Callithrix jacchus: one gene and its partner. The protein of the gene in region 2 purifies or fractionates together with the protein of the main gene of each other region. This does not show direct contact. Links are inferred from orthologs where the notes say so. Each region holds a gene or a part of one and is shown on either strand. Other genes may lie near its edges.

The links. Proteins that work in one complex are often made in the same cells at the same time.
Region 1: the proteins of ANAPC15 (region 2) and CDC26 purify together in Homo sapiens (affinity purification with mass spectrometry; 3 studies listed by BioGRID and IntAct, with this or other methods). This does not show direct contact. The link is inferred for Callithrix jacchus from reciprocal best matches to the Homo sapiens genes ANAPC15 and CDC26.

The regions. Positions count from the first base shown.
Region 1 is NC_133502.1:161,586,180-161,590,447, forward strand, and holds the start of CDC26 (anaphase-promoting complex subunit CDC26), read right to left. Parts: upstream 2,825-4,268; 5' UTR 2,796-2,824; exon of another isoform or gene 2,354-2,795; intron 762-2,353; 5' UTR 705-761; coding exon 652-704; intron 1-651. Other genes in the region: PRPF4 (U4/U6 small nuclear ribonucleoprotein Prp4), read left to right, coding at 3,152-3,178, 3,953-4,133. UniProt on the Homo sapiens protein: Component of the anaphase promoting complex/cyclosome (APC/C), a cell cycle-regulated E3 ubiquitin ligase that controls progression through mitosis and the G1 phase of the cell cycle.
Region 2 is NC_133511.1:68,833,333-68,837,689, forward strand, and holds the start of ANAPC15 (anaphase-promoting complex subunit 15), read left to right. Parts: upstream 1-1,547; 5' UTR 1,548-1,625; exon of another isoform or gene 1,626-2,060; intron 2,061-2,792; exon of another isoform or gene 2,793-2,877; intron 2,878-2,996; 5' UTR 2,997-3,006; coding exon 3,007-3,126; intron 3,127-3,664; coding exon 3,665-3,724; intron 3,725-4,050; coding exon 4,051-4,188; intron 4,189-4,336; coding exon of another isoform or gene 4,337-4,348; coding exon 4,349-4,357. UniProt on the Homo sapiens protein: Component of the anaphase promoting complex/cyclosome (APC/C), a cell cycle-regulated E3 ubiquitin ligase that controls progression through mitosis and the G1 phase of the cell cycle.

The sequences.
Region 1 (4,268 bases), on a different chromosome or scaffold from region 2:
AAGTCCTTTTTTTTTTTTAAAGAGATAGGGTCTGCTCTAAGAAATAGTGTCTGCTCTTTGCCCAGGCTGGCGTGCAGTGGCATTACCTTAGCTCACTGCAGCTTCAACTTACTGCGCTCAAGCAATCTTACTGCGTCAGCCTCCTGAGTAGCTCGAACTCAGGTGTACACCACCACACTTGGCTAATTTTTGTGTTTTTTGTAGAAATGGGATTTCTCTCTGATGCCCAGGCTAGTCTCAAACTCTTGGGCTCAGGTGTTCCTCCCTCCTCATCCTCCCAAAGTGCTGGCATTACAGGCCAAAGCCACTGTGCCCAGTGACTTCTTAAGTCTTTAGGTATGTCATTATTACATTTTTAATACATGACGGAGATCCACAACTCTGAAAAATCCAAAAACTATTCTGTAAGAATTTAAAATAGCAAACTGCCTAAAAGAGAGAAATTCCAGGCAACCATCACTTTAATTTCATGTTCCAGTCACGTTCAAAGAAATATTCTAGCTAAAAGAATAAACTGTCACATCTTAACTTAGTATAGAGGGGAAAGTAGACAAACCGCTGAATTTAATCTACATGAGGACTGTCAGAGATTTGTGATCACTCCTGAATGCTAGAATCAGTTTGCTAAATCTCATGAAAACGCCAACTCACCAATTCACAAAATTATTCTCAGCGTTTAAACAGATCCTAAATGTGTCCGTCATTCATTAAACAAATACTTCTTGTGCTCCAGCTACAAAGTTAAAAGGTACAGTCATAATCTGTGGAGAAAACAAAGAGAAAGCTTTGATATTGCATAATGAGAACTCTGATGAGGGTAAGGCACTGGCATCACACGGGCACCTAATCCAGTCTGGGCTGAGTGTGGGGTGGACAAGGATGTCAGGCAAGCCTTCCTGGAGAAAATGATGTCTTAGCTGACTCACTCCCAAGAGCAGGCAGAGAGAAGAGTGCACAAAGGAGACTCAAGACCAGCTCTGGAAACCTAGCAAGACCCTGTCGCTACAAAAAAGTAAAAAAATTAGCTGGGCTGGTAGTGTGTGCCTGCAGTCTTAGCTACTCAGGAGGCTGAAGTGGAAGGATCCACCTGAGCCCAGGAGTTTGGGGTTGCCACAATGAGCCACGATCTCACCATGAGACCCCCAACTCAAAAACAAACAAAAAAAAAGAAGTAGAAAACAGGCTCAAGAGAGCATTCCACAGCCTGAAATCGCAAAGTAAATGTTAATAAAAACTGTTTTTGTTTTGTTTGTTTTTTGAGAAAACACAACTCCTCCAATTGAGTTTAATATTTGTTGATGACATCACTTGTATATTCTCCACAGCATCCCCTAAAATCCCCTAGAGTGTATCTATAAAAAACAGTCAGTAAGGGCCGGGCACGGTGCCTCACACCTGTAATCCCAGCACTTGGGAGGCCGAGGCGGGCAGATCAGGAGGTCAGGAGTTTGAGACCAGCCTGACCAACATGGTGAAACCCCGTCTCTACTAAAAATACAAAAATTAGCCAGATGTGGTAGCGGGCGCCTGTAATCCCAGCTACTCAGAAGGCTGAGGCAGGAGAATCGCTTGAACCCGGAAGGCGGACGTTGCAGTGAGCCGAGATCGTGCCACTGCACTCCAGCGTGGGTGACAGAGCAAGAGTCCGTCTCAAAAAACAAAAAACAAAAAAAATCTGCTATACATTTTACCTTTTCTGCAAACTGTGAAAAACTCTCCACTAGGAAGAAGTATAGAGTAACAGTTAATAGTGTGGCTGTAGAGGTTAATCCCACTACACCACTGATCTTGAATAATTAGTTTCATCTCTCACTAGACCTTAGTTTCCTCATCTGTATCTGACTCTGCTATTGTTGGTGAATAATATAATGCAGAGTAAAGAGTAAGCTCTTGGAACATAACTTGGCATTTTAAAAATGTGCAATAAATAAAATCTATTATTACTGTAATTTTTCTAGGGGGTTGGATGGGGATCTGGCCAGCTAGGGAAACCTCAATGTTTTGAGAATCATCCACCTCCCACGTGGAGATAAAAGCCTTATCCTGGCCGGGTGTGGTGGCTCGCTCCTGTAATCCCAGCACTTTGGGAGGCCGAGACGGGTGGATCGCGAGGTCAGGAGTTTAAGATCACTCTGGCCAAGATGGTGAAACTCCGTCTCTACTAAAAATACAAAAATTAGCCGGGCGCGGTGGCCGGTGGCGGTAATCCCACCTAATCGGGAGGCTGAGGCAGGAGAATCGCTTGACCCGGGGTCGGGGTGGACCGAAGGTTGCAGTGAGCCGAGATCGCGCCACTGCGCTCCCAGACTGAGCGACAGTAAGACTCCGTCTCAAAAGAAAAAAAAAAACTTACCTTGTTTGTCTCTAATTCCCCAGCATCCAGCAGGGCACAGGGACGTACAGAGCTATCTGACACCTTCCTATCCATCATCTTACTCTCAATCTGATACAACGACCGGCTCTAGACAAATCAACAAAGTCAGGCCGAAGCTCTTCCGCCGGGTCTTTATTTGACTTTGGCACTAGGGAGCTCTTCTAGCAGCCTAAATCCACCGCGGAGCCATCAAGCTCAGAGGGGGCCCCTAAGAAGACTTCCGGATTGTGGAGAAAAACAGCCCTTGTCCCCTAGCTCCAAGCCTGTACCTCGGATCCCTGGCGAGGATTTCCATGGTAACAAGGTCTTCAGCTCCAGGAAGACTTAAACGCTCCGGTAGGCCCGGGTGGCACGGCGGACCCCGGAAGTCCTCGACTCGCTCCAGAGTTCAGCCCCGAGCCGCGCGACGCAACGCACCTACCTCTTTTCAAGCCTGTTCAGCCCCTTCCCGGAACCTCCGCTCCCCCAGTGAAACTATTGGTAAGCCAACTGGACTACACTTCCCAGACTACTTGGAGCCTCTCTCTCAGCAGAATCTCGTCTTGCGCGAGCTTTCTCCGATGTTCTAGGAGGCATGCCCCTCAATACGATCACACCGCTTCCTACTACGACTTCCATCATGCTCCGCGCCGCTCCGGGCGCGGCTACGGCTCTCGGCACACGTCCGGTCGGTGACGCACTTCCGATCGGTGATGCTCATCCGCTCTGCTGGGCGCGCGGTGGACGATCTGAATCGGAGACCTCAGGTTTCGCTGTAGCTTTTCTCCAGAGCCCGGCATGGCTTCCTCGCGAGCTTCCTCCACGGTACAGAGCCCGGGATCTCAGCTCACTCTGGCAGGAAGCGCGAAGGGGGAAGGGGGTCCTTGCGGGAAGGGGCCGTTAGGGAACGGGAGAAGGCGGTGGAGGGCCGAGGAGGAAGGCTGTGGGACTCCGTGTCCTAGACAGCCGAGCACCGTTTTCCTGATCCCTAAGCGCTTTCGTGGACTATAGCTTATTTGCACCTCTCCGACTACATCCCTGAAGGGCAAACATCTCTTCGGACTGATCCAGTAACGGTGCTCTGAAATAGGGAAGTGTCTTGGCCAAGATTGATGCCTTTGGCAGATCTCAGAACTTTAATGAGACCTACTAACTCCTACTGCCTCAGGTCTAGAAACGTTTGAAATATATACGCTAGTAATCTTGTAACTTGTTCTTCTTTAGCACCGCGTTAGTTATTTCATCTATATTTGGTACTTCCCCAGTGATGAGCAGTAACCCTGGAAGCATCGTAAAACACGAGATTGCACACTTCCAACAGAATGAAGTAAACAGATTGCAGAGCAAACCCTTGATAGAAAAATACCCGAGAGAACCTCACTAGTTTTATCAATCCTGTCAACCAAAGTGAGGGACTGAAACACCCTCCCCCTACCCTCATCTCCTCAAATCAATGAAGAACATCTTAAGCAGTGTCCAATTTGTCCTTTCAATTACAGAGGAAGTAGGACTGTGAAACTCAGGGTGAGCTTCATCCTCTGGGGAAGTCCAGCAAATTGTTAAGATTAAGCGTTAGTTTAAGTCAGATTTTTGATTTAGCAGGCAACCAAAACTAAAGCACCTGATGACTTAGTTGCTCCGGTTGTGAAGAAGCCACATATCTATTATGGAAGTTTGGAAGAGAAGGAGAGGGAGCGTCTGGCCAAAGGAGAATCTGGGATTTTGGGGAAAGAAGGACTTAAAGCAGGAATCGAAGCTGGAAATATTAATATAACCTCTGGTAAGATGCAAGTTGTGAGTTCATCTTTACCTCTTGATGTAATGAATACCTTCCTAAACTTAAATATCACCAGTTTTATAATGTAAAAAAATTTCAATTCTTTTTTTTTTTTTTTGAGCTAGAGTCTCGCCCTGT
Region 2 (4,357 bases):
ACGGTACCTGAGGTAGGAATCCTGTAAGAAAAAGATGCCAGAGGACACTGCTCAAGGCCATTATAGGCCCTCTGCACTTTTATTCTCTCTCCCTGAAATCAGAAGGCTCTCTCCTCCTTCAGACCTTTACTCAGAAGTCACCTTCCCAGTGACTTCTGTGGCCCCCCAATCTAAAATAAAACACCTCCCCTGCAAACATTTTATTTCCACTTCTCAGATTTATTTTTTCTCCTCAGTATTTACTGAAATCTTAAAACTACATATTTTATTTATCTATGTTCTTTATTGTTTACAACTCTCAGAATGAAGGCTGCATGAAAAGAGGAACTTTTTTGTTCTGTTTTGTTTACTACTGTATACCCATTACTAAGAATAGTGATAGACATATACTAAGGCACTCAATAGGTATTTGTTGAATGAATGAAAAAGGTAGTCATTTCCAAGAGGCAAAGTTTACTCTTTAATGAAAAATTTTATAAGAAGCAGTGCTATTTGGCAATATAATCACATTCAGTATGCACAGTACACGACCTCTTGAACAATTCTTATCTAGTCTTCACATCAGCCCAGGATAAAAGGAAGGCTGGGGAGAGATTATGATGCTGGTTGATGAAGAAACTGAGTCCAGAAAGAGGAAAAGGACTTCCCCAAACCCACACATCTGGCCAGGACAGTACTGGAACTGTGGATGCCTGCTGGCCCTGGAAGAGGCTGGTAAGTGATGAAGCTTTATAGGAATTGGGTTTGAAGGACCTCTGTTGCCAGAAAACATGAGTATCTCTAAAGGGGAAGCTGAGTCAGAGGTTACTAGAACAGAGGCGTCAGCAAAGGAATGGGAGAGGTGAAGAGGCTGACCTGTAAGGGGCCCTGGCCCAGGCCTGAGGGAAGCTGATTCCCCCAGCAGCAGAATGCTGTACCGAGGCTGTCATTCAAGTCTGTACATAATCTCCAATATCAGAGAGAACTCAATAGGCAACCTTAAAAGACCAGGGAGTCCACTGCAAGTCTGCAGGGTTTGGCTTCCTGGGACTGTGAGGTCTTCTAGGGCAGCGAGCATATTCATAGATTTATCCCCAGTTTCTAGGAGAGCCTGGAATATAGTAATAGTTGAACTCAAATATTTTTGTTCAGAGCAAAAATTAAGAATGAATGTGCTCAAATGGAAAACTGAAGCTGAGAGAGCACAGACAGGAGGGGCGTAACCTCAACCAGCGATTCCGGGGTAGAAACAGATTAGTTTTCCTGGAATGCAGTAGGACAAATGGCCCTCGTACTAAGAAGTTGCGGTCAGCTCTTCTTCAGAAAGGGTTAACAAGTAAAAGGTGTCTGGGAACAAAGGGGTAGGGGTTAAACGGAGCTGTCGGGGCGGGGCCAGAATGCAGAGGCCGATTGGCTGAGACTCAAGGCGGGGCAGATAGATAGGCGCGGCACACTTCCTTCCCTAACAATAAGACTAAGGTATGTCAACGTCACATCCGGGTTAGTGGGCGGGAGCGGGGGGGGGGGGGGCAACAAAAGGAGACGAAGGACGCATGCGTTTGGTGAGTCCCGGATTCTGGTGGGTTCTTCCGCTCAGGCTGGGTGAAGCGCTTCCGGGTCGCCGCCGGCGGTCGCCTCCCCGCGCGGTAAGTACAGAAGGAAGGCTGCGGCCGTCTCCTTGCCCCTTCATTCCTTCTTACCCCAGAGAAACCCATTTCCTTTGACCCGACTCTTCTGGAGCTCCATATTCAGAGTCCTTAACCCGCAAAGATCTCCAGCTCATTGACCGCTTCCTCGAGACTAGGCCCCACCCCGTCACACAAGATCCGTCATTCATTGGTGTCACTTCCTGTCACCCAGGATTTCTTTCAGTTAATTGGTTCTACTCAGGCCCCGCTTTTTTAGCGTTTAGCAACCCTATAAGGCCAAATTTCTGTCTGAGTCCCGCCCCTACTTTCTTTCTGTTGGTCAACTGCATGGTCATTATCGTAATAAGCAAAGAATGGGCGGTGGCTTTGCGGCGGTGGGTTGGGCTTTCGGAGCCAAGAACTCTGGCCTGTCAGTACTTCTTGGACAAGAAGGTGTTTGCTCTTGTGCCTATTACAAGGGTTGGAAAGCTGAGATACAGGGAAGGGCAGCAGCTGGCCCTGGGTTGGTCAGATAAATTAGGACAAAAGCAGGATCAGGCATCGATTCTTTTCTCCTGCTTATTTCTAGCGCCGGCCTGGATTCCTTTCACCGGAGAATTCTAAGCCCCGACTCACTGTGTGACCTAAAGCCAGTCTCTGCCTGTCGCTGGGCCTCAATTTGCTTGTCCTCAGTTTAATTCAGATTATCTGGCACTCTTGGTCGGCTCCTTTAGCCCCTCAAAGCTGATTGTAATCTTATATGTTAGTTCATCCATTCAGTCTTCCATCTACTTATCCACTTATTCATGCCTCCTAGAATGTCTTACTGAACCCTGCTTGCATATACTACAATTCCCCCACCCCGACATTTGGCCGTGATTCATTAGAGAGGTGGTTAGTGTCCTAAATTTCTGACACTGGGTAGGTGCGGTATGGACCATCATAAAGGGGCAAAAAAAGCAGGTTTTAGTGTACAGAAGAGGTAGTGATAATTTCAGTAGAACCCTGCTACCTCTAATTTTGTATGATTTCATAATGCCAGTCTGCATTCTGGATTTCTATTCCTACACTTGACTCCCATTCCCCTCCCTCCTTCAACAGCCTGCAAACGGCTTTATCCATTATTTACTTAATTATCAGAATAACTTTGAGGGTGGTATAATTGTTATTATCCCCATTTTACAGATGAAGACACTGAGGCCCAGAGAGGTTAAGTGACTCAGCCAAGGTCAAAGAGCTAGTGAGTGGTGGAGCCAGGACTCAAACCCAGGTCTGTCTGATTCCTAGTGGGGAGGCCTGCTTCCCTGGTATCTTCCACCCTATCCCTAAATCAAATTACAACCAAATAAAAATGAAAACAAAACACATTCACTTGACCCTTTCTCCTAGTCTAGGAGCCATGTCCACTTTGTTCCCCTCACTCTTCCCTCGTGTGACTGAGACACTGTGGTTTAATCTGGATCGACCCTGTGTGGAAGAGACAGAGCTGCAGCAGCAGGAACAGCAGCATCAGGCCTGGGTGAGTGAGCACCTAGCACAGCACAGACAGAGACCCCCTTCAGTGGGCCATGACCGAGCCTTACTATGGAGATCTGCCCAGGAAGAGCTTTCGCCATGAGCTGGGAATAATCAGTCTGGGAGCCAGGGAGCCAGGGTTTTCATCTTGTAGTACCCTAATTTACAGGGGGACCATGGGACTTCTGGGCCAGATTAGAGTTCAGGCTACTGACACTCAGCCCAAGCTCTTTTCCCTAAACCATAGGAAATAATTTTGACTATTAATTGAGGATCTAGCAGATGACACTTTCTAGGCTGGTAAGTCTCTCACTTTATCCTCAACATAATTATATGAGAAAACCAAGGCTCCAAGAGTTTAGGTATTTGGATCAAGTTCATAAATGGCAGATGGCAAGAAAGAGATTGAATCTTCCTGAGAACTGGGAGGAAGCGTCTCCCCGACATGTGTGGGTCTTCTTTTGGGTAGAATGGGCCAGTCCCATGCCCCTGACCTGCTCTACTTGGGCTGTGGCCTTGTTCCTCCATGCCTTTGCCCACAGCTCCAAAGCATCGCAGAGAAAGACAATAACCTGGTTCCTATTGGCAAGCCAGCATCAGAGGTGAGTGGCTCTAGCAGGTGGGGACTTTGTGAGTCCCAGGGTGGACCGAGGGTCTGCTCTAATTCTGAATGTCCTGTTTCTGACCTAGAGCAGTTGTGGTTCTCAGATCTTGGTGAAGGCCAAAAAGGGGAGATAGAAGGGGTGGGCACAGGGCCTAGCACTAAGGTCCTGCAGAACATGCACCAGCCTGATAGACTCAAGGAGGGCAGGGTTGAGGGGTCAGAGGGGTGTCATTCATTGGCCCTAAAGAGAAGCTCCAAGTGGGTTAGTTCTTGAACTGGTTCACACAGGCCTGTAGGGTTTACAGGCTTTCTCCTGTCCACCAGCACTATGATGACGAGGAAGAAGAAGATGATGAAGACGATGAGGATAGTGAAGAGGACTCAGAGGATGATGAGGACATGCAGGACATGGACGAGATGAATGACTACAATGAGTCACCTGATGATGGAGAGGTCAATGAGGTAGACAAGGGGTATAGGGGAGGGCCTCTGTTCCTGGGCCCCTGCTCCTGACCCGATTGATGGCCAAAGGGGTACAGAAACCCTGGATCCAGCCAGGGGCAGGATCTGGGGCTGAGGCTGGCTGAGGCCCCTCCCCACCCACACCCAGCCTCCTCTCCAGGTGGACATG